Linked DNA regions of Alligator mississippiensis. The protein of the gene in region 1 purifies or fractionates together with the protein of each later gene. This does not show direct contact. Links are inferred from orthologs where the notes say so. Each region holds a gene or a part of one and is shown in the gene's direction. Other genes may lie near its edges. The genes, in order: GNAI3 and RIC8A.

Region 1 (16,248 bases):
TTTATTATGAAATGTGCCTCCCTGTCTGTGAGGGACCGGACAGGGGTTGGGCATCTGATCATAAACCCCTGAATAGGCTGGACAAGAATCCTGGCCAGCCTTGATGGGGCTGCTGGTCAGGCTGGTTTGAAGATGGGGCTAGGAGTCACCTGGTAGATCTGGCATTAGGAGAATCCAGTGTATCTGCTCCCCATGTTACCTTGCAGCATTTTTCTCTGCAGATCTTTGGAAGGAGCACTGTCCAGCAGGTGCAGCATGGGCTTCAGGGTCCAGGTCTGGAGAGTTGGGCTCCACTCCAGCCCTGCCACAGAGCCTCTCAATGGGCACGTCACTTTGGCTTAGGTTCCCAGAACTAGTGGCCTAAACTTTGAGGGATGAAGCATGCTACATTGTGGTGGCAGATAGTCGGGGCATCGTGCTTGGACTCCAGAAGCAGGTCTTTGAGTTGCACGCTGGATTCATTCCAAAGGTAAATGAACACTCGGTCATTCAGACTGGCAGGTTTAAGGTAGCTGGGGGTGCTGCTGGCCACGGTGCTCCCCTGTGTACCATTGTCTATGGAGATGGTTATGCCTCAGCCACACTAGCCCAAAGGGCTGATTGGGTTTGGCGGATCTTTGATTTTTATCCATAGATCTCAAAGGGCATCATAAAAGCAAGGAAATGCTAGAAACACCCCCCTTCCCTACCTCATGACAGCAGGAAGACTAAAGGCACAGAAAGAGGAGTGACTTGGCTAAGGTCATACAACAAGTCAGTGGCAAAGCTTTGGAGTATAGCACTCACTCAAGTGTCCTGACTCAACCAGCAGCGCCTGCAAGGCAAAGGGCTAGCATAAGGCACTGTGCTCTGACTTGTACCCTCTCTGGAGTGGGAGACAGTAACAGCACATTTTATTCCAGGCTCTCAGGTTTCTCCCATATAGACAAGCTGAAATGATCGAGGGCAGAAGAAAGTGCAGAGAAGTTTGGTGTCAGAAGGCCAGTGGAAGAAGCCAGTGACAAGAATAGAAGTGAACCATGAAGGAAGGCATTGTGGTCTAGTGCAGCGATTCTCAACCTGGGTGCCTTGAGAGCTTTTCAAGGGAGCCATGGGGTGTCATTCAATGTTAGCCCTAGTAGGTGTGTAAACGTGACGCACAAGATAAACCCACTGATTTCAAATGAGAATCCACAGCGTTAAAAACCTTCCGACCTGCTGTGCCCTTTCTCAGTTCTTTGCAATAGAAAAATTGCCACATTATTTTTCCATAGTCAAAAACTGAGTGAAGACTAAGAACCGGCATTTTCCCCGGGCTGCTCTGAGCCTAACAAGGAGTGCCTTGAGTCTAAAAAGCTGAGAAACACTGGTCCAGTGGTTACAGCAGGGGTGTGTGAAGGGGTCAGAACTCCTTGATTCTACTCCCAAACTCTGCTACCAATTCACTTTGTGCCCCAGGCATGGCCTGTCCCCTCTTCGCCTCCATAAAATGGGGACAGTTGTATTTAAGTATGTTGCCCAAGCAATGTGTAATTCAACCCCCACACCACAGCAGTGTGTAATTCAACAATGCAGGTGCTAACAAACACAAAGTGCTTTGAGGTCCCATAAGAAACAGGCCTTGGATCTGTGCAGATAGTGCATATTATTTTGCAGCTATCTAGTTGGTCTAATAAAAGATAGTGCCTCTTCCTCAGGAGTTTTGGATGCCGTGTGACAACTCATACACCCTTGGGGACAGCCCACAAGCAGCTCAGCAGGCAGGGAGCAAGCACAAGGGGGGATCCATCCACTGCTGCCACTATCCTCAGATGATCTGGGAATGGAGGGAGCCCAAGGGCTGGTCCTGCAGGGAGCATATGCACAGGGTGCTAGGGACAGCAGTGGTGGGTGGGTTCCCCCTTCCTGCACTCTCCGTGCCCCCCGCAGTGGTCCCTCACACACAGGTGGGTGTGGGGGTCTACACAGCCCCACTGGATCTACCCCTGTCCCCACACAGCACGAGGTCTGGCCTTGGACTGCGTGTGCACCAGCCCATGACTGCACGCATCTGTGCTTGTGATCACAGACCGGCTCCCAGTCCCTGCTGCATGGCCTTTTCTCCCCCTCTGCTTCCCCCTCACATCCCTGGCAGATCCATCTGCGCTGACCTTTCACGCTCACAGACACTGGAACCGTTTAAGCCCCCTGGGTGTGTGCTTGCTTGATGATCACTCATCCCTTTGTGAGGAGGGACTCCAAAAATAGCCTTCTCTGAAGACCACTTCCTTCATCCCCTGGGTGTGGGCTGCCGTCGATCACGAGAGCTGGGGAAAGAGCGTGTGTTGTGCCATCTGAGTGGTGAGTCATCCTCACCTGGGTAACAGGGACCCATCTCAAGGGAGATGCTGTGAAGGACAGTGGCCTGGAACCAGGAAGGAGCCACTCCTTTCAGGACCGCAGGGTTTCTTTGGTCCTTCTTCCTCCTTCCCCGTGGCTGTGGGAGGGTCTTGTCAACATCATGCTGGATTGGGGAACCACTGCTAGGGCTCTGGAAGTCCCTTTTCATTCCACTCCACTTCTCTGGTAAGGGCCTCCTCCTTGTGTGAGAGGGGAGTTCAGCTGGTGATGACCTCTCTGAGCTGAGATTGCCAGCAGATGGCAACTGGAGCAAACTGGCTGCATCTACATGAGATGGTTACTGCGCAGTCATTTAGTACTTGCATACCTGAGTACTGAATGACTGTGCAGTAACCAGCATTACTGTGCAGTAGCATCCCCACATGGCTTCACGGCGATCCTGACTGCACAGTAGCATCGTGTCACAGTAGCATCGCATCACAGTTCATGCCCTGCGACGCTCCTGTACAGTACTAATGAGCTACTGCGCAGTAAGCGTCTCGTGTAGGCGCAGCCACGGTGTCCAACCTGTGCATTTCAAATAGCCTACTATTGTCAGATTGTCATTGCCAGCCCAGTCTGGATATGAGCCAGCTGCACAGCTCACTGGTCATCCCCTGAGCCACCCAGAACTCCCCTCCCATCCAAACTGTGCCAGTCTGTCCTAGCTTGTCCTGGCTCTGGTCCTCTTTTCCCAAGGGGCTGTTCCCCTGCTCTGTCTATGCAGGCTGACATCTTCCCCTAGCACCTACCTGAAAATGCACTCCTAGCCAACAGGCCCTTCTCTAGTTAGAGACTACTGTTCACTCTTTCCTGTTTGTGTCCTAGTGATATCCTTGTCCCATGAGCAAGAGAGCAGGGGCTGATTTCCAAGGGGGGAGACCTCTGCTTTTAAACTCAATATCAGTGGTTCTCAACCATGTTGGCACCTCTCACTGGACTCGAGGCTCTCCCCATAACTTTGGTGAGTTGAATAGCACCTCATTTCAAAACTAACTTTTGAACTAACTAAAAAACTTTTGAACTAACTAAAAAAAACTACCATGCTGACCTCCTTGCAGATGGGCTGGGCAGTGATGATGAGAGAGAAGCCAGGCAGGGACAAGCTTGAGCCCACGGATGTCTGCTTATCTCTCCACACCCTGTGGCACCCTTCAAAGGATCTGGTGGCACCCCAGGGTGCCCTGGCACCCTGATTGAGCATCTTTTCTACCTGCAGTTCCAGGGCACAGTCGGCAGGTGGCACTACGAGCACAGCAGTGCCAGGAACGTTGCAGGAGCAAGGGCTTTTTTTGGTGATTTCTTTCTTGGGGCCAGGCATAGAGCTGGGAGAGATGTTAGATAAGGGGGCATGAAGTGCCCTTCATTTCACTTCAGGCATGAAGTGTTCCTACATTTGCCGTTTCAGCTTCTAAGCAATGTTGCTGTTCCTTTTCCCTCTCCCATGTCCTGGCCTTTCTGTTGTCCTGCACTCTCCCCACCATGCCCAGTGTGTGGGGACTGCCTTCCTAGAAGGGTGTAGCAAGCACAGCTCATGTCTTGAGCTCTGGTGGCATCAGCTAACAGGTGCTGTGGACTCAGTAGCAGCATGGGAGACTGCTAGGATAAGTCAGACCTGGAGGTGATCCTGTTTCTCTGACTCAGAACTGAACCAATGTCCCTGGGGTCCTGCTTACATTTCACCTGGTCAAGTACCAGCAGTTTACTTACCCCTCCCTGTTCCCCTACCTTGCAGTTTCAGTTGGATACAGATGCAGCTGTCCTTAATCATTGGGCAGCTCACCAGTTCTTCTCTGCAGAAGTGACTGCATCATACTGGTGGCTGAATTGATGTGGAAGTGTTTGTAAAGGGTTTGGGGATGAGGGTTTTCATGCCTGGCATCATTCCTAGGAAAGACTCTGCTTCTGATGAGCTCCATCCTGATTAAAACAATCAGGGCTGGAGGAAAGCATCTGGAAATGCTGTAAATGCACCCGGATGCACACATCCCTCCCCTGCCTCCTAAATAAGCTGACCAAAGCAGTGGTGGGGGTGTCAGCATACAGCTCTTCCCTCTTTACAAGTGTTGCATGGCCCTTTTGGGCTTCAAGATCTTTTCAGTGCCCCACCAGGATTGCTGGTGTGCAAGTCTTCTCCTCTGTAGCTCTTATCCATTTAGCACAACCTCCTTGCCTGGTCTCTTCTCTGTGAGTTTCCATCTCATTGTAAATCTTCCTTGCTGCTCGAAGCCTCTGTATTGATCCCAGCAATGGGAGAACTTACTCACCCTGGCCAAGCTTGGGTGTCTCTAGCCAGTAGTCTCCTTTTCAGGCACCTTCTAGTCCAGCCATTGCTGGGATAGCTCCAGATTTCTTTCTCTTTTGTCTTGTTTAGCAGGAATCTATGGAATCCAAGGAGCCCATCATGGAATTTCCTTCTGGCTCCAGGTGTCATGGAGAATATTTAGCAGCAGAGGGAGGTAGAAGGCTCTTTATGGCAATACATTTCTTGTTTGATGAACAGATTGGGGAAGGATGGTGACAGCCACAATATTTCCTGTGTGGGGGCTGTTCTGGGAATAGCCACCAGAACCAGCCACCTCTTTCTGAATAAAAGAAAGGGGCTGTATTCCAGTTGCTAATGTGGAATTGAGCATAGTTATCTACCAGGACGTGGGGAGGGATGGCTTGAAAGCATTGTAGGCTACAAGATCCTAGATCTCTAGGGAAAGGCATACAACACTAGCAGTTAGTCAGGGCATCAAGGTTCATACTTGAGGAAAGCATGGCTTGGGCATTTTGCAATGGGCAAGGAAGACCTTTTGCTTGCAGAATTCCTAACTGCATTTCCACCTGTAGCTGTGGCTTAGTTGCTGTAGCTTAGTGCATTGTCCCATGTAAAGTGTATTTGGTGTATTGCAGGTTGGTTCCCCCTGGTTTGGACTCTTCCCCAGATGCGCAGTCAGGACAGGAGACACTGAGTGGCCCCAGGGCAGGTAACCTCAGCACTGAACACTTTGTGGCCCCAGCCCAGGGCTCAGGGGTGACAGATCTGCTTTCCACAGGCCCATTTTTCTTCCAGTTACCAAAGACAACAGAGTGTGATGTTGCCACTGCATGTTACTTGCTCAGTACTGTTGCGTGTGAGCCAGCAGAAACTGAGCAACACCAGTGTTCATCCAGTTGGGGCTGCAGTGGACTTGGGGAGAAGGGCCCGCCGTGTTGCAACATGGCAACAAGGCTTGCCATGTTACAACCCTAGCAGTACCTGATCTCACACAGGATTCAGGCTCTTAGCACTGGCAATGTCAGCCTGGGGCTTTTACTAGCACCAGACTCAGGACAAAAATCTCTTGCAGATGGAAGGGTTCCTGTCTGGTACTGGACCCCTCTGCAGTCTTCTAGGAAAGAGAAGATGAGTCTTCTGACGCAGTCGCACATTGTACCCTCTGTGCTGCACAGCAGGTGTCTGCCAGCGCTAGAATCATAGAAAATGAGGGCTGGAAGGGACCTCAGGAGGTCACATCTAGTCCAACCCCCTGCTAAAGGCAGGATCAGCCCCATCTAGATCATCCCAGACAAAGTTTTGTCTAGCCAGGTCTTAAAAACCTCCAAGGATGGAGCTTCCATCACCTCTCTGGGTACCTGTACCAGTGTTTTACTACCCTCCTAGTAATAAAATTCTTCCTGATATCTAATTTAAACCTCTCTTGCTGCAACTTGAGGCCATTACTCCTTGTTCTGTCATCTGCTGCCATTGAGAACAGTCCAGCTCCATCCTCTTTTGAATCCTCCTTCGAATCAGGTAGTTAAATCCCCTCTCATCTTCTCTTCCCTAGACTAAATAAGCCCAGTTCCCTCAGCCACTCCTTATAAGTCATGTGCCCCAGCTCCCGAGCCATTTTTGTTGCCCTTCGCTGCACTCTCTCCAACTTGTCCACAGGTGTGGCCTCACCAGTGCTGAATACAGGTGAATAATCACTTCCCTTTACCTGCTGGCAACACACCTACCAATGCAGCCCAGGATGCTGTTGGCCTTCTTGGCAACAAGGACACATTGCTTGCTCATATTCAGCTAATTGTCCACTGTAACCCCCGGGTCCTTTTTTGCAGAGTTGCTGCCCAGCCAGTCAGCCCCAGCCTGTGCTGTACATGGGATTTTTCTGTCCTAAATGCAGGATTTTGCACTTGTCCTTGTTGAACCTCATGAGATTTCTTTTGGCCCAAGCCTCCAATTGGTCTAGGTCACTCCGAATCCTATCCCTATCCCCCAGCATATCTACTATTCCCGCCAGCTTGGTGTCATCTGCAAACTTGCGGAGGGTGCACTCTATGCCATCTTCCAGGTCCTTGATGAAGACACTGAACAAAAACAGCCCCAGGACCGACCCCTGGGACACTCTACTTGGGCAAGCTGGATTAGTTTGACAGGCTGACAAACATGAGGCCTGGGCCCCAGCTAATGCACCATCAAGCTCTGTGCTGCTGAGAGGCTGGGTCTAGCGCACCAGTGCTAAAGCATGAAGAGCAAGGACTAGGCAAGCAGGGCGGCCGGGGTCAGCAGTGCTGGTGTGACGTGCTACGGCAGGGGAGGTGGGGAGGCAAACTTTTTGGCAGGTGTGCCAGAAATTAGCCCCACACCCTCCCAAGTGTCATCCCTTGTCCTTCCCCTGCTTGGTGTGCTGCTCCACTTTCTGCTTCCATCCCTGCACTCCCTGATCTGCTGCTCTGCTCCCTGCTCTACCACTGAGCTTCCCAGTCTGCCACATGCCCCACACACAGGTTGCCTGTGCTACAGGCTGACCCCTATGCTGTGGGATCACTTAAGGCTCCAAGCCTTACTCTGCGGTGAAGGTATGGCCCATGCTGGCCTTAGCGTCAGCAAAGCAGCTATCACCCTTCCCTTGCACGATGAAGCTAAGGATTTGCAGGCAGGCTGCCTGGCGTTCGACTGCGTCGGTGCCATGGCTGTTGTGAACGAATGAGGTGTGCCTGTGCACGCCAGAGACCTGCCTCTTGCCCTGCACTCTTGCAGGTGTACGCGGGACAGGCCCACTGGTCCCCGGGGGTCCCTCATGGCTGCGGCGGAGGGTGGTTTTCTGCTGGCTCAAGCTGCAGGGCTCTAACCCTGTCCAGTCTCCCCAGGCCACCCCACCCCGCAGGACGGAGGTGCCTGAATGGGCCAGAAATTGTTTCCTGCACCCACTTGCAGGGAAGGTGTGACTGTGCCCATGGGCCAGCAGGGGGGTGGGAGAAGCACGTGGGCCCCCTGCTCAGGGGGGAGGCAGAAGGGAGCCAGTCCCCACCTGCGCATACGTTGAATGGCAAAGCTTGGCACAAGACTCCATTTCCCGACATGCAGGGCGCACGCCTCCATTTCCCAGCATGCAGCGTGTGGGCGGCCACGGCTCGGGACTCTATTTCCCGATAGGTCGCGGTGGGGGCGAGTGTTTTTCCCAGCATGCGGTGCGCGGGCAGAGGCCGCGGCAGCAGCGCCGGTTGACGTCAGGCGGCGGCGGAGCGGATATCCGGCCGCCCCGCCCCGCCCCGCCCCGCCCGCAGCAGCTCGGGCCGCCGGGCTGAGGAGAGGCAGAGCCGCCGCCGCCGCCGCCGCCGCCATGGGCTGCACGCTGAGCGCCGAGGACAAGGCGGCGGTGGAGCGCAGCAAGATGATCGACCGCAACCTGCGCGAGGACGGCGAGAAGGCGGCCAAGGAGGTGAAGCTGCTGCTGCTCGGTGAGGCACCCGCGAAATGGCGGCGGGCCCGTCCTGTCCCGTCCCGTCCCGTCCCGTCCTGTCCCGTCCTCAGGCTGGTCCACGACCCCCCCCCGCCCCGAGCTCCTCACAGGTCCAGACATCTGGCAGCAGGGGAGCTCCCCCCTCCCTCCCTCCCTCTCTGCCAGATTTGGGGTGACTTGGTGCCAGGGCCGGGGGGGATGTGGCAGGAATTGAGTCATGAGCAGAAGTGGCTGACACGGGGGGGGGCAGGACGCGGGCGAGCCCGGCTGGCAACTGCCCCGGTGGAGACGTGTTCTGTGCGCGGAGCTGGGGGATGGCGATGGAGGGGGCGGTTTAGCTGTGGGGGGAAGCCTGGTGACGCCTGTCATGTCACGGCCCCCCCCCGGAGATGTATCGGAGGCACTACTTTTGGGGGGATGATTTAAAAGCGGTGTGGGAGGTGGTTTTCCAGCAGTGACCCGCGTGGAAAGCAGGGGGTTAGCGCGAGTCCCTTCTGTCATCAGCTGCTTTTTTTTCAAGTTTGTCATTTTTTGTTGGGGACGGGCAGGAGCCTGCCTTGCATCCATCCCTTTGCTGAACTCTTGGTTTCCTCAAGAGACGGCGGTAAGAGTCCTCCTACGAAGGACCTGCACTATTGATCTTGTTTTTGGCCAGCCGGTGCTGTGAGCGAGCGGTGCCCTGAGAGCTGTGGTCCTTCGTGTTTGTGCAGATAACACTGCTTGCTAATTGGTTGCGAGTCTCACAGCCCCTGAGGGGTTTTGTTCCCTCGGGACTTGCAAATCCCGCAGAGGAGGGTGGCTTGATGGGGTTACGGTGTTTGTAGCAAGTTTGTCTAAATTGACTTGTAGTTCTCAGCCTCGCTGAACTCGAGGGCTCTTTCATAACTCCTGTAAATTGAGTAGTGCCTCATTTTAAAAACTATTGTGTGTTTACAGTGCTTACCCCCTTGCAGAGAGCCTGGGCCATGGGGGTGGGGGGTCAGCCAGCCTGGGTCTGCTTCTCTGCTGCTCTCCTCACCCCTTGCATTACCCTTCAGAGGATCACACGGCACCCTGACTTTGAGAATCCCTGATGTCAGGTTTTCCTGTGTGCCATGGATGTAGAATACAGTCAGCCATAAATGCCTCTCTCAAAGGAGTTTACCGTTGATAGCACCAGATGTGACTTGCCCAGGACGGTTGCCCTGTTTTGCCAACCCCCCAGGACAGCTTTGGATAGCACTATATATTTCACTGGTCATCCTAGTCCATGGCAGGGCCTGTGTAATTATAGAGAAAATGCTGCGCAACCAATTAAGTCGGTAGCAGGGTGGATCCACAAATGGCACCGAATTTCCATGGGTTTGGATGGCAGTTAAATAGCTGCTTTCCAGAGACACTTCTAAAGGAAAAATGAATAGCTGCTCTGGAATATCTCCAAATATAGTTACTCTCATTCTGGGTTAAGTGTTCACATGTGGATTTACTCAGGAATAGTTGTGCTTTAATTCTGTAGCACCTTAATGTGGATGAGGTTTCTCCTTTCTATCTGGGGTAAGCTACCAGTCTCTGCAATGTCTCCTGGCAGTGAATTCCACAGGCTGATTGCTCACGGTGTGAAAAAGAGCCTCCTCTTGTTAATTTTGAGCCTGCAACCCAGTAACTTCATTTTCTGTCCCCTGGTTCTAGTATTGTCAGGAATATTAAATACGAAATCCCTATTTACTATGTCTGCACCACTTAATGTTTTGTAGACTTGTCATGTCTTCCTTGAAATAAATGTCTCTGTTCTAAGCTGAAAAGTTTTAGCCTATTTAGTTTCTCTTCTTATGGAAGCCCTTCCATACCCCTGATAATCTTTGTTTTTCTTCTCTATACCTCTTCTAGTTCTTCTATATCCCCCCCCTTGAGGTTTCAGAAGCAAGCTTAGTGGTGCCTTGAGCATTACCAGTTACGAAAGGGAATCCTATAAACACATGTTCTTTGTATATAAAATCTGGGCTAGTTTATGTATGGGTAAAGCAAAGCAATCGGTTGCTAAGATTAAATGTACGTACTCAGGCCTCAGTCATTTGGTTAACATTTCAGAAAGCTGAAGGAAAATGTAAATTTTAAATAGTTTGAAACCTAGTGTTTTCATTTAAAAAAATAGTACAATGTCTAGATTGGGGAGAGGGGGAGTATTTTATTTAATTTACCTGTAAGAGATCTTTGAGGCTATTTATATAAACTGTTGCAGTGAAGTCTGGGAGGGGGGGAAGTATTTTGCTTGGGGTGGGGGGGAATAAAAAAAAAAGCTTGAGAAGCTGTAGTCTATTTTCAGAACACAGTTTCCATGTATTGTGAAGTGATGGCTGAGACACAGAACACAGGGAGCCATCTCACCTTCTGACTCTGGTAAAACACTGGCCTCCTTTAGTATTTCTCTGCAGAATTTTTGTGGTTTGGGAGAGCATGCTTGCATTTGCACAAAGTCTACTTGTTCTTCCCAAGCACAGTATTAACAGTGATTCTCAACCAGGGTGTTACAGCAGGTAGGGTGCCTTAATATCCTTTCCAGGGTGCTGCAGGGTGCCAAACAGTGTTAATTCAGTTAGGCATGCAAACATGATTTGCAAGGTGAAACCTAGAGATTTCAAATAGGAATCTGTGGTGTTAAAAGCATTTGGACTTGTTGAGGTCTTTCTGAGTTCTTTGCAACAGAATGGCTCTATTAGTTTTCACTCAATTTGACTACAGAAAACCAAGAGCTGACATTTTCCAAGGAGGTGTCTTGAGCCTAAAAAAGCTGAGAACCAATTCCTTAACAGAATCTTCCAGCATGATGACAAAGCTAAATTGCTACAAGATACAGCTGTGTAAGCTGCATTCACTTTCCCTGCCTCCTTTCAAAAAAAAAAAAAAAAAAAAGACTCCAGTATTGAAAAAAACCCCCAATCTTCTCCCCCCCCCCCCCCCCCACTGTACAGCCAGTTTCTGGTACAGTATTTACTGCTTCTTTGGGTTTCTACTTTTCTTTCTGTTTCTTTATCTTTGCCCTTATTCAGAACACCCCAGAAGCAGCAGAGGAGTATGGGTGCTTGGTCAATTTATCATGTTCTCCAAGCCATTTCATGACTATTTTGTGATCACTGGTGTAAAACAATATAATGTTTATTTCTGTGGTTCCTTTTATGTGAGGCTCTCGCATTACCAGTTATATTTAAGTTTCACAACATTGTCTGTTGGGAAATGGTTACACCCATTGTCAAGCTACATAAGCTGAAGTCTGGGGTTTGCCCAAGGTCATACAAGCCCTTGTAAGATGGAAGGCAATTATGTAATATAGTAGACTCTTGTTAACAGGTCCTTTTGAACCAGTTTTGTAGATAATTTAACTGATCGGGTAGACCAGTCTTCATCACCAGGATAGAAATTGTTGACCTGTTTCCAACAACAAATGTGACTCGGGTAGGGGGGTGGGGAGGAAGCCATGGTAAATCTACGCACAAGAGAGGAACTCCAGAGCTCTTGATTTGCACAACACTCCTCCTTTTGTTATAGTTTGTTTCCATTGCCTCCAGGAAAACTCTGCTTGGCAGGAACAGACGTGCGATTTAGCTGACTCTGGGTTTTTCCTGTTATGATGAGCTGCATGATATGGGAGAGCATAGAAATTGGGGCATTTCTTCCTGGGCAGTTTGTGCTGCCCTATAGTCCATTGCACAATAATTTTCAAAGTGTTTAGTGTGCAATACCTTGCTGCCTTAAGGAAAAAAAAAAAAAAAGCTCATGTTGAATCATTGGTGGCAAAAATACATCCTTTAGTGTAGAAGGCAGTTCCATTGTTGAATCCAGTCAATGTTATTCCTCTGTATGCAACATAAGTGATGAATAGGGGAGTCGTTCCCCCCCCCCGACCACGAGAGCGCTGGTGCCCGCTCTGACAGTGAGCACTCTGGTTGGTAGAGGGGCATGGGGAGTGCTTGTGCCTGTGCCCGTTCCCCCCCCCCCCCCCCCAAATAAAAATTAAAAATTGGCTCCTCTGGTTGCCGGCTGGCTGCTGGGGGACTGTTCCCTGCCTCCCTCATGCCACTCTAGGCTGCCCCCCCCAACTGGGGGTGGGGTGTGCACCAGTTGCCCATGGAACTTAGTGTTGAAAAACGGCATCTTTAGGACTTGAGTCATGCAGGCGCATCCAATATTTGTGCTTAAAATGCATATTAACCTGTTGAAATTACAGGTTTTGACTTAAAACCCCCTAGTACTTGGATGGGCACTTGAACATAATAGAAAAATGTAGTTTGTAGAAAATAATTATAATGGTAAGTCTATCCTAAGACACGTCACATAGCCAATCAACCAAACAAGCATATTGGAAGGAATGGTGCCACGCTCTCTAAAGATTCCTCTTGCCATTTTTTGCTTCTTGGCAAAGCCTGAGAAGTGTCAGTTAGTGCTCTGAAATTTAAACAAGGTTTTGGTGTTTCTGACCAAATTCCAAAGTTGAAGACCACGTGTGGGGGAAATACCCTGCCACTAGTCTTGTCTTTTTTGTGTACACAAAGCAGATGTTTTGGTGTGACAACTGATCTGGGGTCAGCATCTCTATGTAGATTTTCCTGGGACAGAATCCATATTTCCGACAAATGAGCAGTCAGCGTAGATTACAGTGCACCAAAGTAGGTTCATAGAAGTGTGTTTTTTGAACTGTATCTAAATCTCAACCCAGTTTGTGGAAGGGGTCCTTAAAGGTAGGTAGCAATTCTGATATTGCAAGAGTTATCTTGTGTCAGCCATATCTGATGAACACTTCCTCAAAAGCAGATTTGAAATAGTTGATAATGGATTGCCTTGTCAATGTCAAGAGGTGGTGGTTTCTTGAGAGAGACTTGAAGTGGTTCCTTAAGGGCACCTGGTCTTCAAATGAGATGCAAACAGGCTTCATCATGTGACTAATTTTTGCCCAGGTTTTCACCAGCCAGGAAGGTGATGGGTCTGAATTGCCTCCAAAACTTCATTGAGTGACTTGGGTGAATCTCTAGCAAATAGTCTCCATGTAACCTCCTCTGCTTTTTTATTTGCCTTCCCCCCCCCCCCCCCACCCCCCCCCCCAAAAAAAAAAAAAAGACTCGGCCAACCAAGGTGGGGGTTTTTTCCCTTCAAAACAATCTTTTGTTATATTCGGGATTTTGGATCTACAGTGATTTAGCCAGTCCTGAAGAATACTACCAAGCTGTATGCCACCCTGAGCAGAACTATTGTTTCAGACTGAAGGCTGTGGACAGATACATTTTTTTTTCCTTCTCATAGAGTGATCTGTCTGAGAATCTGTATTCTATCTCCACCCTTCCAGAGTCCTCTTGTGCCCAAATCCTCATTCTCTTTGAGGAAGAGCATCAAAACAGGCTCTCTGTTCCAGTGAGAGAAATGTGTACCGAAGTCAGTCCCTTTCATTTGGTGGTTGCTTATTTTAATTTTTTGGGTAATCACCTGCCAAACCCTGTTAATGTAGAAACATTTTTAGATCAAAAGTACATATAGAACATAAAAGTAAATGATTGTGAAAATCCATGTGTTGGGTACTTGTTTATTCATGTATGCAGCAACTTGTTATGCTGCAGTTCATAAGGATGGTGGGGACATTTCTGCGCTGTCCTGCTTCATTAATAAGCATGACTGCTTTTGCTATTTCAGAACTGAAATTAGCAGCAGTTAGAAACCAGATGTGCATATCCTTATTTCACTTTCTCAACTGTTGTATCTCAACCCTTATGTAACCCTCAAAAAGGTAACGGGGTTAAAAGGCATTGGAAATATTGTTACAAAAATTACTTCCTTTCTCTCACATCTGGGGTAAAAGATTCTGTCACCTTTTGTAATATGTGCAAAATGTAGGGTGGCTGTAGTTTTTATAGCCAATGCAGGGAGGTTAACATCTTCAAGTAAGTACTATCAGTCTGGAAAGTTCATGAGATACTACTTTACTAGACCTGGCTGTCTGAGGTCCATGTTTGTGATTAGACATATGCAGGGGTTCAGATGTTCATGTCTAAAGTAATTTCCAGCTTGGATCTTTATATGTAATTAAAAAGCAAAATAGCTCTTATGAAAGGATAGCCCTAAGAAGACCTCCATCATATGAGGAGGTAAACATTTGAGTCAAGAATAGGCAATGTCATTGTCCCACTTCACATAGGACTTGATATCCATGTGTAGAGGTGAGAGAGGAACACTAAAGCAGTTGAACAGAGAGATGTGTTAGTTTGATCTTTTACCAAAAGATCTGTGTGTGTGTGTGTGTGTGTGTGTGTGTGTGTGTGTGTGTGTGTGTGTGTGTTGTGTAACTTGTACCAAAAATGGCTGGTGCTGGTTGTTGAGTAACACTGGTTTTAATTGGTTTGAAATACTCCTAAGACTGCTGTACAAAATGCTGCACAAACAGCTACATAACAAATGTGCTGAGCTGGCTGTAATATGCATATTTTGTGATGCAGAGAAGTGATCTCTATCCTGATATTGTAATGCTTTTGCTGTAGTTAAAATCTAATGTTTCTCTTCAGAGAGGAATTGAAGCTATCTGGCTGAGTATCTTGGCTCATGAGCATGGGTGACAGGGTAGACTGCTGTGGGGGGTAGCTGTGATGGTCTGAATCCCTGGTGGAGATGAACACCTCTGATACTTGCATTGGGGGGCCTTCTGTCTAGTGGCCACTGATGGCTGGAAAGAGGGCAAATAGTAGGGGTAGCCAGAATCTTGAATCCCACACATTTTAAATAATAAGGCTCTCAACAGTCTGAAATACTTGGAAAGGCCATTCTTTGCATTTGAGGTTTTTGTGTGCCATGAATAGGTGCATTTGTGTCCAGCTTGTCAATTCATGTGCCCTGTAGTAACTCTCAATTGTTCTGAGATGCATCAAGCTTTATCTTCTAATTGATTTCATTGTTTTGCTGTAGGTTAAAATTCTTTAAGCACTTGTGACTAAAGTGATGTCACTTGTTCCTAAACCTGCACAAACTGCTGCTGCCATTGAATAGTATTGCATATATTTTAGCATTTTCTAATGCAGCCACCTTTCCAGGTAAGCTAAGTATCTTGTTTTCACAGACACTATCAGGTGACGCAGAATAAAAGTGATTCTTAAAGCAATTTTGTTGTAATGGAGATCTTAGAATAGAATAAGATCCTCTAATCTCTGGCAAGATAACAATGGAGAAACATTAGCTTGTGCACGCTGTCTATTCTGCAGCTGTAACATTTGAATTAGTTGCAACACAGTTGTCCCTTACTCCCATTTGAGTATGGCTGGAAATTTGTGGTGTAGCTGGGACCTAGATTTGTCCCTCTGTTATAACCTCTGTCAGCTGCTGAAGGGAGCTCCTGGGTCACTGATCCTACACCCCTGCAAGTCCTTCATTCTTCTATACTTCAAATTTTAACTGTTAGAGTAAGAGTCTTGGGATAACTGCTCTAACCTGGTTTCCAGACTTGATTATAGCACTTCCATGGAAGTCTTTTACATATGGATTAAGAACAACTCTTACCTTGCTAATTACTAAGCCTTTCTGACCCCCTCCCTCCCCCTTTAATTAGCACCCTCTTCTTAAATTCTCTAAGCAGTCTCTTTGTACCCTTGATTAGATTTTACAGTTATTCAAAGAAATATTGTTACATGTGACTTTTTGTTAGGGAACAGTTTGTTCTGAAAACACTAGTATTTCCTGACTGCTCAAGTAAAATTTCTAACTCTGTAACATCCTGACCTATCTAGATCTTTTTGTGGAAGGCAGTTAAGCATTTTCTGTAGGTCCAACTTTTTAAGCATTTTTTATCCTTTGTGCATTTGAATTGTATCTTCCTTTTGAATTTACCTCTTCTTGGCCTTCTGTTGGCAATGGCTGTGCTACCTGAAAGCCACATCACTTGCGAAACAAATATTAAAGGAGCTCTTAAGAACTGGCTAGAAACTGATTGATCCTGGTGGAGACCCATTGGCTTTTATTTTCTTCAAATTTGTTGGTAGATGAAAAACATAGCCTCTGCACTCGCAAACACAGTACATCATAACTGTGCCAAGTACTTCAAGTCTTCCTGCATAGCACACTGTCAAATATAATCATAACAACCTCTTATGCATTCAGATCCCTTATGCAAAATTGGGTTAATGCAACATTACAATGAAAAGCCTTAATTGCACAAGTCAGCTTTAAC
Region 2 (16,056 bases), on another chromosome or scaffold:
GCATCTACCAGACTGGCTATAGAGAAGAGACCAAGTTGAGTATCTGAAGTGACTTTCTATTTTTAAAATCACTCTTTTGGTCAAATCCTCTGCTCTTCCTTTTCCTATTGAAAAAAGATGGGGCCATGTTTTACCCTGTTACCTAAACTCTAAGTTTGCGTAAGAAATGTCTTCCTCCACATACCAAAGTGCTAATTCATGAGGATGCCAGTACCAACTGTCCAAGGCACACAACAAGGCCTAAAGCAACTTCAAATCATCTTTTAGACACTGCAAATTAATATTTCCCTGCTCCCTAGGTTTTCAACTGTTTCAGGTCTTTAATGGTTGCAATGGGAAATCCATGTGTACCTATAATCACTCACACATACTTATGATACAAAGAAAATACTAACACCAGCCAGCTCTCTCCTGTAGGGTCTCTCTCTCCCCATCTACTACGAAAATAATCAGTAGAACCAAACTCTTATCCTAATAACATCTACTCTATCCCCAAGTCCATCAGTAGTTCAATGTAACAAGAAGATTTTTAGCTCCAGGCCTACCCTACATGCAATCTGGAACTTCAAAGCACTATACAAAACTATTTTAACCCAGGGAAATACCACTGGCATCCCCATACCAAAATGTGAGTCAGAAAAAAGATTTGGCTTAAAATCCAGGAGTGTCTGCTTCCCAAGCTCACATTCAGCTTTGTAACATGCTCTGCTTTTATAAGTGAACTGAGCACAGGCCAATTGCCCACTTTATGGTTATGGATTTACTTTGATCACAAACCTTCATATTAACAGCATGGGATGACAGTGAAGTTAACACTGAGGCCATGGACAAATCAATAGAAGAGGTTCTGAAGGGTATAGATAGCAAGACGATAGATGACAGCTGACTATCAACAAGATCAAATTATGTCATACATAAATTTAAAAAAGGTTAGAATGAACCATTCACCTTATATTAAGAAAAAAAAATTATATGACCCAGATGTCCAAGACCACCCACAACAACAGTTTCTTTGGACTCCAACTTGTTATCTGATCCTCCAGAAATCTCTCAGCAGGATAAACTGAGGGTGACTTTGAATAAGTCTAACATTGTCACAGCTTTCCATTCCATAAAAATTCCACTACAAGGACCTCACTCAAGTCCGTGCTTTCGACACCAGATAGTAGAGGATGAAGAAGACGACAATCAGTCCAGCAGAAACATAACAGAGTAGTTTGCGATTATCCCTCCCTGATCGCGTCATGCTGGAAAAACGCTTCCCAGTCCCAGTCAGCAGGCCAGTTACACTCATGAAATCTGAGTCCTGAGGGGCAGAAAAGGTGAAATGGAAAAGTTATAACACAAGTCAAGGTTCCCCTGGAATGCACTCCTTATTTCAGTCATTAGCTGCCATGAGAAACAGATAGTAACAGAAATTCTAAGTCTAGATTAAGAAAAAAACCAAAATACAAGAATGCAGTTTTTTGACAAAACAGGTTTGGCTACTCTCTCTCAAACTCCAGGGAAAAGCATCATGTTAAGGATGTCTGAAGGGCAGGATTATAAATGTAACACACGACCCACAGTGTAACCCCCACCCTATGTTAATGTAAGTTTAAAGGTTTTAATTGCACCCTAACCAAAATAATGTCAAATGCCCTCAGAAAAACTTTATTTTTCCCTTTTTCCCCCATCACATCATACAACATACCTCAAAAACATGCGTTAGTGCTGCATGCAACTGCTCTGCCTGTCAAAGCCAGTTATCACTGATTAATTCCATGCAAATTTACTCCAGAATAAGAGTGCCCCCACATGGAATCAGTCACAGATAGCATGTGTAAACAAGCCTTTGAGATTAGAAAAAATGAAATTCCTTCCTGTAGTGTTGTTTGCAGAATAGGTAATAATGTTGCTCAATGTTGTGTCAAGGCACTAAAATACCCTGCTCTACAAATTCTTCCCCATCCTCTTTCCTTTCCTATCTTCTCACAGCACCACCATTATCACAAATCACATTTTCCTACTCAAAACCTTTAAAAAAAATGGCTGCTGTTCACTCTAATTAGTTTCTGATGACCTCCAACCTACCCCTTTCTTAAAGTGCTTGACAGGAAGGCTACTTTCTCAAACCTCTCCCAGAACTATATCTGAAATATGCAGTCTGAGCATGGCTACAAACAAAGAATTTACTTTCTTCCAATTGTTAATAACCCTTTCCTTTCTGATGACAGCTGGTCCCCCCCCCAATTTTGAGTTCAATGAAAAGCTCGTATCACTCCTTCCTCCTGTACCACCTCCCCAGTTATGCAGGCATCTTCATAGGTCCTTCTATTTACCCAGTAGCTTTGCACCTTTGATAATGGTCTTACTTCTGCATCAAATACCCTCCTGTTGGCTGTGCTCTTTTCTTCCCCTTGCTCAGTTATCTGATTTCTACCTTTATCATTTGCTGTATTTTTTAAATGACAGTCAGATGAATACATCATTCAAGAACATTAAGGAAGTCAGAGAGTGTAAGAGACAATGTTAATCTCACAGTTTCTAGCTTAAGCTTAGGTTTACTCCAAGATATTTATCTGAAGTCCATCTCTTGAAGGGAAGTAAAAAAAATGGGTATACCGTCTTGATTTAAGACCCCTCATTTAACTTTTCTGCTGTAATCATGGTCTCTTCCTTCACCCTAACCTTCCACTCTCCTCCATTTCCAGTGAAAACAAGTATACATTAGACCTTCCACACACTGCCCGTGACATCACTGCCTGCATGCCAGCTCTGCTGAAGCCTGAATAGGTTTATCTTGCCTTGCTTTCAATATTGTGGTTATCTTCTATAGGGGTTACATGCCCTAGCTACCCAGATTCCAACCTGCAGACAACCACTTCCCAATCACTCACAGAAACAGCTTGACCACATCAATCCCAAACTCAAACATATCAAAGGAAGGGATTCCAATGCCAAATTGAATCATGAAGTTATTCTTAGTCTAGAAATTCTTGGTGGGCACATTTTAAGCTACAGACCTGGTCTTGTGGCCAAATAGCTTGCTTATTACTTTAAGTACATAAAATGCTTTGAAATTAAATTGTATCATATGAATGAAAATCATTATATTAAGCAATGGAAGAAATCTTGAGGCAAAAAAGTTTGCTTGTGTTTGCTAACGTCAAGTGTGAAGCTAGGGGATTTTCCAGCCACAAATGCATGTATTGGCTGCACAAGCCATTCCCCAAGTCCCTGGATTCTCCATCAGCAATAAAGAGTTTACGAAACATGCCAGATTTTGTCTCAAAAATCACCGTTTTTTAAATACCCGTGGTAATTAAAAATGAGAAGAAAAAGGAACAGAGTACTTGATATTATTAACACTACAAACCCTGATTCCAATTCTATACATCCAGGGCATTTCAGAGGCTGTAGAAGTACCCCCAAGAGATTTATAAACACTTCCAAAACTCCTAAACAGGAGTGACAAAGGCAGGCAGGCAGGCTTATATTATCTTCATAGGAGCCAGTTTGTAATCCTAGTAAGTAAGTAATTTCTACCTGCATTACTGAACTATACTACTCCCTATCAGTGTCAACTGTTATTAAATGCTGGCTGTATTTGCCCAACATAATATTGGGAGCTTTTAAGTTTCTGTTGGCTTATGTACTTAAAACCCCAAACAATGTTTTCATGTTACCTGACATGTGCTGGGTTGTTAAACCCAACTGCCAGAGTTTGATCACCTTTCCTTCTGAACTACAGAGCAAACTCTTTGAAGTCAGCACAAAACCATTCACATGTTAGACATCTCACCAGTGTCTTACCATGCCATCTAGATAGTGATTTTGATCTTCAGCATCTTTGTCAATATCCAGTGCCAGCTAATCAAAACACAGAAGGATGCAAGTGTTACTATCTTCAAATTAACAGATCAACTCCTAATATATCTGAAGCTGGTGAAACCCCAACCACACAAACAGGCCATTACTTCCACTGCCTCCTACACATTACACACTGCCATGTCTGTTCTATGCAATGAAAAAAAGAAGACGGGGGAGGAGGGAGATTCTGCCTACATTTTAAGATTATATAAATTCCTGCGCTTTGCAGCATTGGAAATAAAGGTCTATAGTTGGAAGCTTCTGTACATGAAATGACCATGCCTATCATGAAGCAGTAACAGAACACAGATTCTGGTTTTCTGATAATGATGTTGTCTGTGCATTACAGCCATATGTTAACTGAGGCTTTTGACATTAGTGGAAGCAAATGATTACTGTGAATACTCCTTTAATAGCCATGGATACACCACGACTATCATCACCATAAATATCATGACTCCCTCCTGAAGGAAAACTGAAAGTGTGTTTTTTATTAATATTTTTAACCTGGTTTTATAACTACTTTCTTCCACAGAAGGCACGCCTTGTCTGACATGTTTACCTGCCTTGGCCTCCCTGCCGCTTACTTTTTATATCAAATTTCTTCTCTAGCTGCCACTAAGACCAGACAATTTTGGTGATGAGAAAATTGGTAAAATTTCCCAGCTACATCATTAGAAAAGTTAACTATGCAACCCACCACAGGCTGTATCATATCCTGCATCTTCTCAAACCATGGAATAAAGAAATCACCCCTGTGTAAACCAGCTCCTTTCTCACAGTGAACACAGCAAGGAAAATGGACCACATGGAGTTAGTAACTAACCGATTTCAGCCTGGTGACTTTGGTGGCAAGATTGTCTGCCATATGTTTGTTCTCGACATCCAACATGTCATCCATGCCGTTCTGGCCCTGGCCTGAAAGAGAGAGGAGGAGTCTTATCAGTTATGACACAAACATCAGCATGTAAACTCATCACAGCTGGTAAGAGAACTGGGATTTCTGTTCGCAGCGCCACCGCCACTTTGTTGTTAGTTAGGTGACTCCGAGTACCATTTTAAGAACCGGTTTTTCCTACCCCTGAAATGTTACCCCAGATGTATGATATGTATCCGAGACACCCAACATACATGCAAACCCTGATCCTGCTTTAGCTACACAGGTGCAAAGCTTGAGAGCGCTCAGATTCAATTACTTATAGATATATTATCTGTGTATGTGTGTATACACACACATGCACACCTATACCTAGATATGCAGACACACATGTACATTTTATATATATATATATATATATACACACACACACATACACACACAGGTGCGTGTATCTGTGTATCCACATACAAACACACATATATTTGTTCTTCTTTGACACACGACCATCTACAGTGTGTACAAGACAGGTCAGCTAGTGTGCCGGAGGGGACGTAACAAGGTACCCGCATCAGCAGCTACCGACCCACTGCAGATGTATGCCCCGAGACATGGGGGTCACTGCAGGACGGGTGGGGTGGCAGGGGGCCTGCAGCTCTTACGGAGCCAGTTATCAAAGGGACAGGTTGAAAACATCTCCCGCCTAATACCTGCCCCTCCAAGCGATACAAAAACAGAGACGTACTCCTAGCACCTGGGCAGCACTGGCAGGCATGAAAGGCACCTAGCGCCAGCCTCTGACCTGCCAGCAGCCCAAGCAAGCCCCGGCCAGGCAGGTGAGCGCGGTGGGAGGGCAGGCACACAGCACACGGGGTCGGAGGAAGAGGAGGCATCCCCCCATCCCCGGGCCGGGGCTGGCAAAGCAAAACCTCCCCCAACCAAACAGCCGCATGTGCGCCCCCCCACCGCCCCAGTCACGGGCAGCCCCAGGGACACCCCCAGCATGCAACCGCACGACCCACGCCCGAGCCCCCGGCAGGGATCCGAGCTGAGCGCCCCGCGGCCCCGCTCACCGCGCCCCCACTCCGCCATGGCCGCGGCCCGTCTCCGTGGCCGGCCCCGCCCCGGCTGCTGCGGGCGGAGCCACCGCCGCTCCTTGCCCCGCCCCCGCGCCGCCTGGAGAGAGCCCGGGGCACAGGGGCCGGAGACACTGGCCTGCGGCCGGCTTCCTCCCTCCCTCCCTCCGAGCGGCAGCAGCCGGGGTCTCCAGTTGCAGCAAGGGCAGATTAAGCTGTTAGGGGGAAATAAACCCCGCTCACGCTAGGAAGGGAGCACAGTAAAGGAGCAGGTCGCCTGGCAAGGAAACGCCGTGTATCTGCGTCCAGGAAGGCAGGGTTCCTCAAGCGCTCCCGGGCAAACCTGCTCTTCTGGTGCCCGCCCCGGCGTCGGGGCTTCAAGCCCACTTGATGCAAACGGCAGCCGCTCTCTAGCTCGCTCCTGCGGCCACACGGCTGAGGCGGGGCGAAAGTCGGCGGCATCTGAACCGCTTGGGCCCGCACCTAGGACACCTGCTAAAGGATTTTGGAAACATCTGCAGCCTCTGGTGAGGTGGAGGATGTTTGCGGGCTGTAGGGCCAGTATGGTTCTGGGCTGACTCCGGGATTTGGACTTGATTTGACTGGGAACATGAAACATTTCTTTAAAAAAACAGGTCTTCCAGAGGTGGTGGCCTCTCCATCCTTGGACGTTTTTAGGACCCAGCTAGACAAAGCCTTGGCTGGGAAGATGTAGTTGGGGATGGTCCTGCTTTGAGCAGGGGTTGGACTAGATGACCTCCTGAGGTCCCTTCCAGCCCACATTTCCTAAGACACCACTCATAAAAGCCCCTCGCCTCTCTGGCAGGTTTCCTGGGACATCAGGGCTGCAGCATCCCTCCAGCACTGCCAGACACAAAGGGCACGCTTGTCCAGCCGCAGTTTGACTTCCTTTTTTCTCCCCTCTATAGCAGTGACTCTCAGGCGGGGCCATGGCACCCGAGATCCTTTTTAACCGTGCCACACAATACGATGCACAGGGTAGACCCAGCGACTTCAAAGAGGAATACATAGCAGCAAGAGCCATCACACCTGCTGTGAGAGGCAGGAATTCTTGTGGGCGATTCTTTTATCGGGCCATCTGTGCGCGGTTGGGATAGACTAGTGCTTCTCAACCTTTTTAGGTTTGAGGCACCCCTCCATAGTCTCAAGGCAGTCTCCATAGGGACTGGAATTAGAATTATTGGACTGGACAAATTCTTGGGGAAAAAGGGCATCAGTATCTATTGAGCACAGGAGTTAAGGGTCCAGCCTCTGAATTCAAAGTTCCTGGACCTTAAATGCTAGAGGTTGCAAGTGATGGAAGAAAGTGAATAAAAACCAACCCTGGTCTTGTCTTGTTTACTCTCCCTTTCAGTATCCATTTTCTGCCGCTGTGTGACACAGGCCTATTTGACACATAGGGTTAACGTGCACTTTACCACAAAGCAATAGTTACTCTCCCCGCATAAGCCGCGGAACAGGGTGGGGCACCCAGGCCATGGCCTGACCAACATTTAGCACGTTAACTTAACTAGCTATGCAGTTAAAAAAATAGCTATACAGTTTTAACCGGAATGGCAATTGCGCATTTGTGGGTTATATAAATTGATGTGCTACAAGTTGGTCAGGCTGTGGCCCAGGTGGCCCACCTCGTTCTGCAGGCTATGCCCCCTGTTATTAGAGGGGGCAATTGGGTATATGTCAGTTGATTTCAGGGGACAACTAAAGACAAAACAGGACTGGGAGTGAGGTCAGAGGTTCAAAATGAGTACACCAAGGAGGGGGACACTGAGCAGAGTACACTGGACAGTGCCCACTGAATAAGTCCAGGGAGCTAGTGGACACTGCCAAGTGAAACTTTGTCTGGAGACATGAATGGACCAGGCACAGGAAAATGGCCCTGCAGTCCCCGGGGGGCCCCCAGCCAGAGCCTCTGTGTGACAGGCCTATTTGACACATGTTGGGAACATGGCCCTTATGCCCACAGATCAACAATTACCTCCCCTTAATAATAGAGGGAGCTATTGGGTATGCATCAGCTGAATTCATGGGACAAAAAAAAATACAAAACAAGGACAGGAGTGAAGGTCACAGGTTCAAAACGAGTGCACCAAGGGGGACAGGCTGAGCAGAGTATGCGGGACAGTGCCCACTGGCCCTCAAGTCCAAGGAGGCAGTGGACACTGCCCAGTGAAACTCTGCCCAGAGACATGAACAGACCAGGGACAGGAAAGTGGCCCCACAGTCCCCAGGGGCTGCCCAGCCAGAGTCTCTGTGTGATACAGGCCTATTTAACACCTATTGGGGACATGGGCCTTAGGTTCACATGTGTCAACTGATTACTTGAGAAAACAAAAGAAGCAGGGACAGAGTAAAGGTCATAGGTTCAAAACAAATGCACCAAGGGTAGACATCATGCAGAGCACACGGGACAGTGCCCACTGGTCCCCAGTCAAGTCCAAGGAGCCAGTGAACACCTCCCAGTGAAACTCTGCCTGGAGATGTGGATGGTCTCCCTGGCCAGAGCCTCTGTGTGATAAAGGATCCCCGGCCAAGATGGACCTATAGTCTGATACAGTCAATGGCAATTCTTATGTTCTTACAGGCTGGAGGCAGCCCATCAGGAAAGGCCAGCTCTTATTTTTCACTCATGTTTAGACTACAGAAAAAAAGTAGAGCAATTCTGTTGCAAAGAACTTATGCAGGCCATTCCAGGTCTGAATGCTTTTAACACCATGGATTCCTTTCCTGACATCTCTGGGTTTATTTTGTGAATCCCATTAGCACACTCAACAGGGACAACATTGTGTGGCACCCCTGAAAGGACCTCAAGGCATCCCTGGGTGCCATGGCATCTTGGTTGAAAATCATGGGTGTAAACACCCAAACTTCTGGCTATCCTAGGACCCTATCTCAGGCCTGTGGCCTTGCTGCGTTCTTTGCAGCAGCAGAACGGCTTGATTCTTTTTTTCTGTAGCAGAAACACGAGTGATAATGAAAAGCTGGCATTTTCCAAGGGTTGCCTTGAGTCTCATGAGGGTGCCTTGAGTCTGAAACAAGGTTGAGAACCACTATTGTAGGGATTCCTAAAAAATGAGGGTTGGAAAGGACCTCAAGAGGTCATTTAGTTCAGTGGTTCTCAACTTTTTTTTGTACCAGGACCCATTTGTAAACATTGATGGCCAGTCTGGATTCACTCCGGACCCGCTGCCCCCAGGCCCTAGCCCCTCAGAGTGTGAGGCAGTGGAGGCCCCAAGCAGCCCCTGGCAGGCTGGAGCTCTGCCAGCCTGCAAGGGAAAAACCCTGGTTTCCCATGTTTTTTTCCTATAAGGAAGAATCCATTTTTAAAGTTTCTTGATCCATTTTCCAAGTTGGTTTGTGCCCCTTTCATATATTCTTGTGACCCACGGGTTGAGGAATGCTGATCTAGTCCAGCCCCCTGCTCAGACCAGGACCAGCCCCAACTACATCATCCCAGCAAGTCTTTGTCCAGCTGAGTTTTAAAAACCTCCAAGGATGAAGAGTCTGCCACCTCTCTGGGTGACCTGTTCCAGTGTTTTATTATCCTCCTCAGGAGAAAGCTTTTCCTAATATCAAACCTGAACTTCCCTTGCTGCAACTTGAGCACATTGCTCCTTGTCCTGTCATCTGCCACCACTGAGACCAGCCCTCCCCTGGCAGGCAGCAGGATCCGCCCCTTGCATTTTGCACAGTGCTCATGTTTTTTTTATATTCCTCTTGCTCATAGTGCGGGGCGGGAAACAGCCTCAACCCCTGACAAGGCTCCTGATTGCTTGTATGGTTGGCAGGCTGGTGGGTGATCTCTGCCCTGTCCCACAACCCCAAGCCTCCAGGTAAAGCAGCTCTTCCCTTTGCCTGGGTCTCCACCCAGCTTCCAGCCACCCCTCCCTGCCTCCTCTGGCTGAGAGCTGGGGAGGGCTAGGGGCAGCAGCAGTGTCCAGGAAATGAAGCAGGAAACCTGAGCCAGCGCAGCTAAAGAGAAGGTAACTCGCTCATCTTTTCTCCCTCGGATGGCTCATGGCAGTCAGACATCTCTGTCCCCTTGGCCCCTTAAAATCCCAGCAGAGGTGGCCTTAAAATCCAGCAGTTTGTTGCAGCCTCTGCCACACTTCCATGTAGATTCTCTCTGCAGGGTCCCTGCTTGCCTGAAATCGTCTCCATTTTGTCCCTTTTTTCAAGCGATCAGCAAGGACTTGCTTCACAGGAAAATAGAAAGCCACATCTCTATAATTATTCACTAATGCTGTGATCCCACAAAGGCTTCCGCAGAGGAGCTTTGCCACCAGGAGTATTTTCAGTTCCTCTTAATGGGATTGCTCCCAGATGTAAAGCTAAGCACATGAGTGAATCTCAGTAGGATGCTGGTCAAAAGGAGGAGCAGGAAACCAAGCCTCCTCCTGTTTTCTTAGGGGACTAAAGGTGACAAATAGGTCTGTTTTCTTAGGGGTTTGAACCCTGAGGAAAGAATGGCAATAAAGAGGAGGAGGGGACCTTAAACAAGCAGAATAAAAATTGCAAAGATTGAGGTCAGTGGTTATTATAGTCCATCTCCTGCATTGTTATGTGATGCTGGACTGGGCAACATGCTGGAGAGTACTGTGTTAGGGATAAATCCTGCACTGGTCCTAAAGGAAGGAGCTGTCTGTTCCATCTTTAATGTCTATGCCGCTATGAAATCTCTCTTAGTTCATTGTGTGCATATGTGGACGTTGTATTCCTGTTTTTCTTCCCAAATAATTCTATATGGAGCAATGAGATGTCAGAGTGGGCGCATCTATAGGTGCACTTTAATGTGTAGTAGCCTATTTTACTGCGTATTAAAGCATCTCATAAAAACCATGCTAATATGCGAATGCGTTGTAAAAATAGGCTAGTGTGCTTTAAGCTTCGCTAAAAAAGCATGCACTTTCACTACTCCATATTAGGGTAGCCTAATGCTCATTTATTTAGGATCTCAAATTCAAGGTACCAAATTTAATGTGCGTCAGGAAAAGTGCATTAATGGACGTGTAGACATACTCAGTGTGCATTAAACTGACACTCTGACTTTAACTGTGATAACTTTGTAGCGATGGCACAAACCATATGGCAGAGGTTCTCAAACTGTCGTCTGCGGACCACCACTGGTCTGCAAGCTCCATTCAGGTGGTCCACAGATAGGTTGCAGAACAATCAAAAATATCTGTAGTTGGCCCTGCATTTGATTTATTTTTTCTGACGATGGAGATTAAGTGGTCCGCTGAGACCCTCAGCAATTTTCAAGTGGTCTGCGAAAAAAAAAGTTTGAGAACCGCTGCTTTGTGGTGTCTTAACCCGTGTCTACATTGCGCGTTGTGGCAATGTAGACACATTTGAGTTGGTTTTAATCTAGCTAGCTTGGAGAATGAGAGCAGTGAAGTCACTGGCACAGGTGTCAACCACTGATTACCCAAGGCTCTGGGTGGGTTTATATGGACCAAAATGACACTTGCGCTCTTGCAACATTGCTGCTGTCAGTACCTATGCTATCTAGATCAAAGCCAGTCTGGGTATTTCTGTGCATGTTGCAGTCAGTCATGACTTTCTGTGGCAGTGTAGATATAGATGTAGATGTTTGATTCTGTAGTAAGCAGCTCCCTTTGGAGTCTAGGATTGGGGCTTTGTGTCATTTTACACTACCCGTCTTCAGTACTATTGCAAAATTTGTCACACAGCTATAGAATCTTAAATCTTTGTGCTTTCACAAGTGTGTGGAATCATACTGTGATTTATGATGTGACCCCTTATTATTATTTAAAGTCACAGTTTCAGCACTGTAAGCCTATGTGGTGCTTTATAGACACTTTAAACTCATGCCTAGCCTTTAAACATAAATGTGTGTCTAGTGGTTTATAACAGATCACTTGGCTTTTGAGATGGTGTAAACCTATTTCCTCCTGTATCATGAAGACACACACTTGTGTAGTCTGTTCAGCATGTCCTCCAACTTCCCTAATTACATAGCCCTTTGCAGGCCCCAAATGCACCAGGCTGGGTTTCTTTTTGAAGAAACTGCTGAGGAACTCTTTCATGCCACCTTTAAAAGACTGCTCCACCTTAACCCAGTCGGGATGGAGCTTGTCTGTCTATGTTGCTCTCTTGTGAGCCCCTGTTATTCCCCAGGGATGTTTCTGTGTGTCTGTGTGTGTTGGGGGGGGGGGTGATTTCCTCTGTGCACTATGAGAAATCAGGACAGTCGGTGGTGGAGGAGGAGAAGGAGGGCTATTTCAGGGAGCTGCAGTTATCTGTTCTGTGTTAATCCTCAGGCTGGGGGTGAGGGAGGTTTCCTAAGTGATTTAGTGGGAGGGCATATATTAAACACTGAAAGGCAGAGAGAAGGAAGAGGATTAAAGGGAGGGGGAGAGGGAGAGAAAGAGGAAGCTTGTGGCTGGTTTTACTGGGGATGTTCATCTGCTTTGCTTTTTAGGTATAACAGAGTAAGCAATCGCACTTGTTTTTTTCTCCCCCCCAGCTGTCTGTGTGGCAGGGTCCCCCTGCATCTGTAATTATCCAGCAACATAGCAAAGCCCCTCCCCATCTCGCCTCACATCTGTATCTAAGCTGCTGGAGCAATGGAGCTCAGGACTATGGTAGCGACTGTGGAAAGCAGGGAGCAAGACACAGTCCTCAAGGTGCTGCAGATCTACAATCAGGAGGTGAGTGAGTATGGCAAGCTGCTGCTTGATGTTGCCTTTCCCTATTTATAAGCAGGTTGGTAAGAGGATCCATGTTCTGGGATCTCTGTCAGGCACAAGGCAGGGTAGATCTGTACCTTATAGACTAAATCAGAGGTGCATACACTCTCAGCTCTGTGTTATCCAGCTTCTATCTGCCTCATCTACTTGCATTTGTCTGTATTGCTTGTCTGCTTGATCTTTCCTTTTTCTTTCCTGCAGATCTTGCAAGTAAGGTTTAATAATGAGCATCTAGTAAACATCTCTTTCCTGCTTTCCTTGTGTACTGGAAGCAAAGCCTCTGTAAGGGATTTTCACATCTAGGGTCCATGCTAGAAAACTGAGTGTCAGTGTGGGAGCTGAATAATGAAGGAAGGTTTGAAGGCCTGAGGAGGAGTGATGGATGAAGTTGAGTGGTTATGGCTTTCAATTAATGAGCAAAAACCCCATGGGGATTTTCCAAATATGCATGTTCTGAAAGGTGATCATAGGACAAATTGAAAATAGGATGCAAAAGGAGCAAACTTAGGAATGAGAGATTTCCACTGCTGGGCTAAAAACAGTTCAAAATATTTCATGAGTATACTGTCACCTTCTTAAAAAAAACCATGTATAGTTGTGCTGGGATGGATAATCTATACAAGTGCAGTGAAACTTGCTTCAAGGAAGTTACACCAGAGAGACATTTGGCCCTGCAGAAATACATGACTCATTCTGCACCACTCCTAAGTAGGTGGAAAATGAGCAGAGAAAGCTGCAAATATTATTGCAAAAGTGTCATTTTCCAGGGAAAAATGTGGGTACCACATCTGTTCCAGTCAAGCAGTTCTACATGGGTAGAAATCTCACCTAGGAAACAGTAGGTCCTCTTAAAGAATGACTTAACAGCAGCAATAGCAGAAACCCTGGCAGACAAAACATGAAGGAAAGTAGGAGAACAAAGTGGAAATTTGAAGAGCAGATAGAAATATATAAAAAAAGCCACCAAGACATTCTTGGTAGGTATGTCAACCATAAGAAACCTGTTAGAATATTAGGGAGAAAATGGAATGATTGGTGAGGATAAGATATTGCAGAACAGTGAAACAATTTCTTTCTATTGGTCTTTACCATAGCAATTGATGGTGAGAAACATGCTCCAGACCTATTATTTTCAGGTAACAAACAGGCATTTTTAACATGGAAGGAACTTAATGTTAAGATACCCGAGGAATCCATAACAGCACTGTTGGAGTTTCATATTTTTCAAAGTATCTGGAGAAGGCATAATTTGTAGATGACACAAAATCATTTGAGGAAGTCAAGACTGCCAAAGATCATCAGGACTTCTTGAAGGACCTACCAAAACGCATGCTCCAAAGCTCTTTGAAATCCGTAGAAAGACTATCATCAACTTCACTGAGCACAGGATCAGACTTAAAGCTAGGCAATAAAGTAATATGGAAGCCAAAAATTTCATTGTAGTCTGGTACAAGAATATGTATGTTGGAAAGAACAAGTTGAACTATTTAGACCTTGATAATATGTTCTAAATGAACTGTCATCAGGTGGTGGGGAAGGGGAATCCCTATGCAGTATTTATGAGCAGCTCAAAAAAGCTTTGATGAAACAGCATTGGTCAAAAATGATGGAAGGAAGTACAAAGGATAATAATTTATGGCCTTTTTATGCAGAAGGGGAGAGTAAATTATTGTAATAGTTATGTTTGGACTTAATTTCTTGGCTCATTGATTCATACATTTTAAAGGAGAACACATTTGAAACATTTTAGAAGGAAGTATGCATAATGAACCCGTGGAACTCATTGCCATAAGATAGCATTGAGACAAGGTGGCTGAGTAGAATTAAAAAAGGATTAGACATTTGCATGCATGATAATGAGTTTTATTAGGTAGGCTAAAATATTGAAATCCACATTGAAAACTTGAAATCCTCATCCTTTGGAGCATAAATCAATTTACTAACTGCCTGGGCTTGGGAAGAAAACCCCCACCATGGGCATGAATGTAAAATGGACAATTATACATCATCCTTGGAAGCTTCTGCAGTGGACCACTGTTGGAAGCAGGCTGCCTGAGTAAATGGATCACTGGTCTGATGTAGTAGGGCAACAGTGGTGGGGACTGAGGGAAGGCTCATTGTATCCTTTACCCCTTGGACACTTACAGGTAGTGCAGCCACAGTTTGGCACTGTGGTTTGTTTTCAATTACCTGTGCAGGTGTTACTGCAACCCACACCTGTGTTAGTAATCTAGGATAGTAAGTCCTGGGACCTAAGTGTTCGGTGAATAGAGTAGATACAGATTTCTAGGTCATCCTTTTGAAGATGCCTCTTCTTGAGATGTGGAAATTGTTTCATTCTTTTGAAAAAAAGGATCAGATTAGAAATGTTGTGCTTTGGATGCAGGTGCATGATTCCTATCATCTATCTACTGCAGTGAGTAGTGGGGTGAATCCTGTGATCCCTCCTCCATTTTCAGTCATTCCTGACTCAGATAATGCTGCCACTGATTTCAGAAGGTCTCTGAAAAATGGCTAAGCAAAATCTGAATTGAGGACCTTGGAATTTGGGTCTATATATTTGAGTGACTATGTGAAATGTGCTAAAGAGAAGATGAAAACATTTCTTTTTATGCTTTCCACCCAAAGCTCATTATGAAAGTGAGAGTGAGTTATTTGGTTCATGCTGATTGTAGCTGTGCAATTAAAATGATCGTTGTCACAAAATAAGGCAGTAAATATACACTGCAAGCTGCTATGCAGTGAGAATGTATTTGCATATGCTGATCAGTTGTTTAAAGAACATGTGGTGAATAACTGACATACTGTCAGATATGCTTAGGAGGACCCTAGACAGATTAGTGACAGGCTGGACTGAAAGAGTAGATAGTGAGCACTAACTGTATGAAAAATATATAGATTTGGGCCATAACTGGGCACAGATAGGTTGGACAACATAGCTGGATTATCATGAATAACTACTTCATGGCTAGTTTGTTATAGTTTTAAAAAATAAGTTAGCTGGCTAAAGAGCTGTAGCTAGGAATGTGTCACATATCAGTAGCCGGCTAAAATGACTTGCCCAGAGTTTGAAAACTAAATCTATATACATATGAGTATCACAAGCAAAAGGAGCAAATCTAAGGATAATATCCAAGGAATATTACTTGTTATTTATGCATCACTGTAACTTTATGTGGCCCTTTTGTAAGTGAAAGGCTCATTCTGAGCCCTACAGTATTCTCATTGCAATAGTCAGTGCCAAACAAGGGAGTGACGTGTCTAGTATCCTGTTCTGATGCCTTTGACTCCACAGCCTGAATAACCAGATATCTAGTTACAGCTGGGTCAACTGAGGGCAGCCTTCAGTAAAGCTTGAATTTGTGCTTTGGTAGCTGTGGTGGGATATCATTTTTGCTCTGCCATTCCACCCCGGCTCATGGTCCTTTACAGACCAGTGAAAGATGTGAGTCCAGATTCTTGGCCATTTCTTCATCCATTTTGTACTTTGTAGTCTTTGAATGGAGTCTTTGACCAG

Evidence for each region.
Region 2: the proteins of GNAI3 (region 1) and RIC8A purify together in Homo sapiens (affinity purification with mass spectrometry; 3 studies listed by BioGRID and IntAct, counting the BioPlex papers as one, with this or other methods). This does not show direct contact. The link is inferred for Alligator mississippiensis from reciprocal best matches to the Homo sapiens genes GNAI3 and RIC8A.

What each region holds. Positions count from the first base shown.
Region 1 is NC_081837.1:34,289,500-34,305,747, forward strand, and holds the start of GNAI3 (guanine nucleotide-binding protein G(i) subunit alpha-3), read left to right. Parts: upstream 1-7,867; 5' UTR 7,868-7,955; coding exon 7,956-8,073; intron 8,074-16,248. UniProt on the Homo sapiens protein: Heterotrimeric guanine nucleotide-binding proteins (G proteins) function as transducers downstream of G protein-coupled receptors (GPCRs) in numerous signaling cascades.
Region 2 is NC_081825.1:179,398,244-179,414,299, forward strand, and holds the start of RIC8A (synembryn-A), read left to right. Parts: upstream 1-9,541; 5' UTR 9,542-9,809; intron 9,810-12,033; exon of another isoform or gene 12,034-12,117; intron 12,118-12,316; 5' UTR 12,317-12,416; coding exon 12,417-12,500; intron 12,501-16,056. Other genes in the region: BET1L (BET1-like protein), read right to left, coding at 1,139-1,306, 3,796-3,852, 4,679-4,770, 5,475-5,622.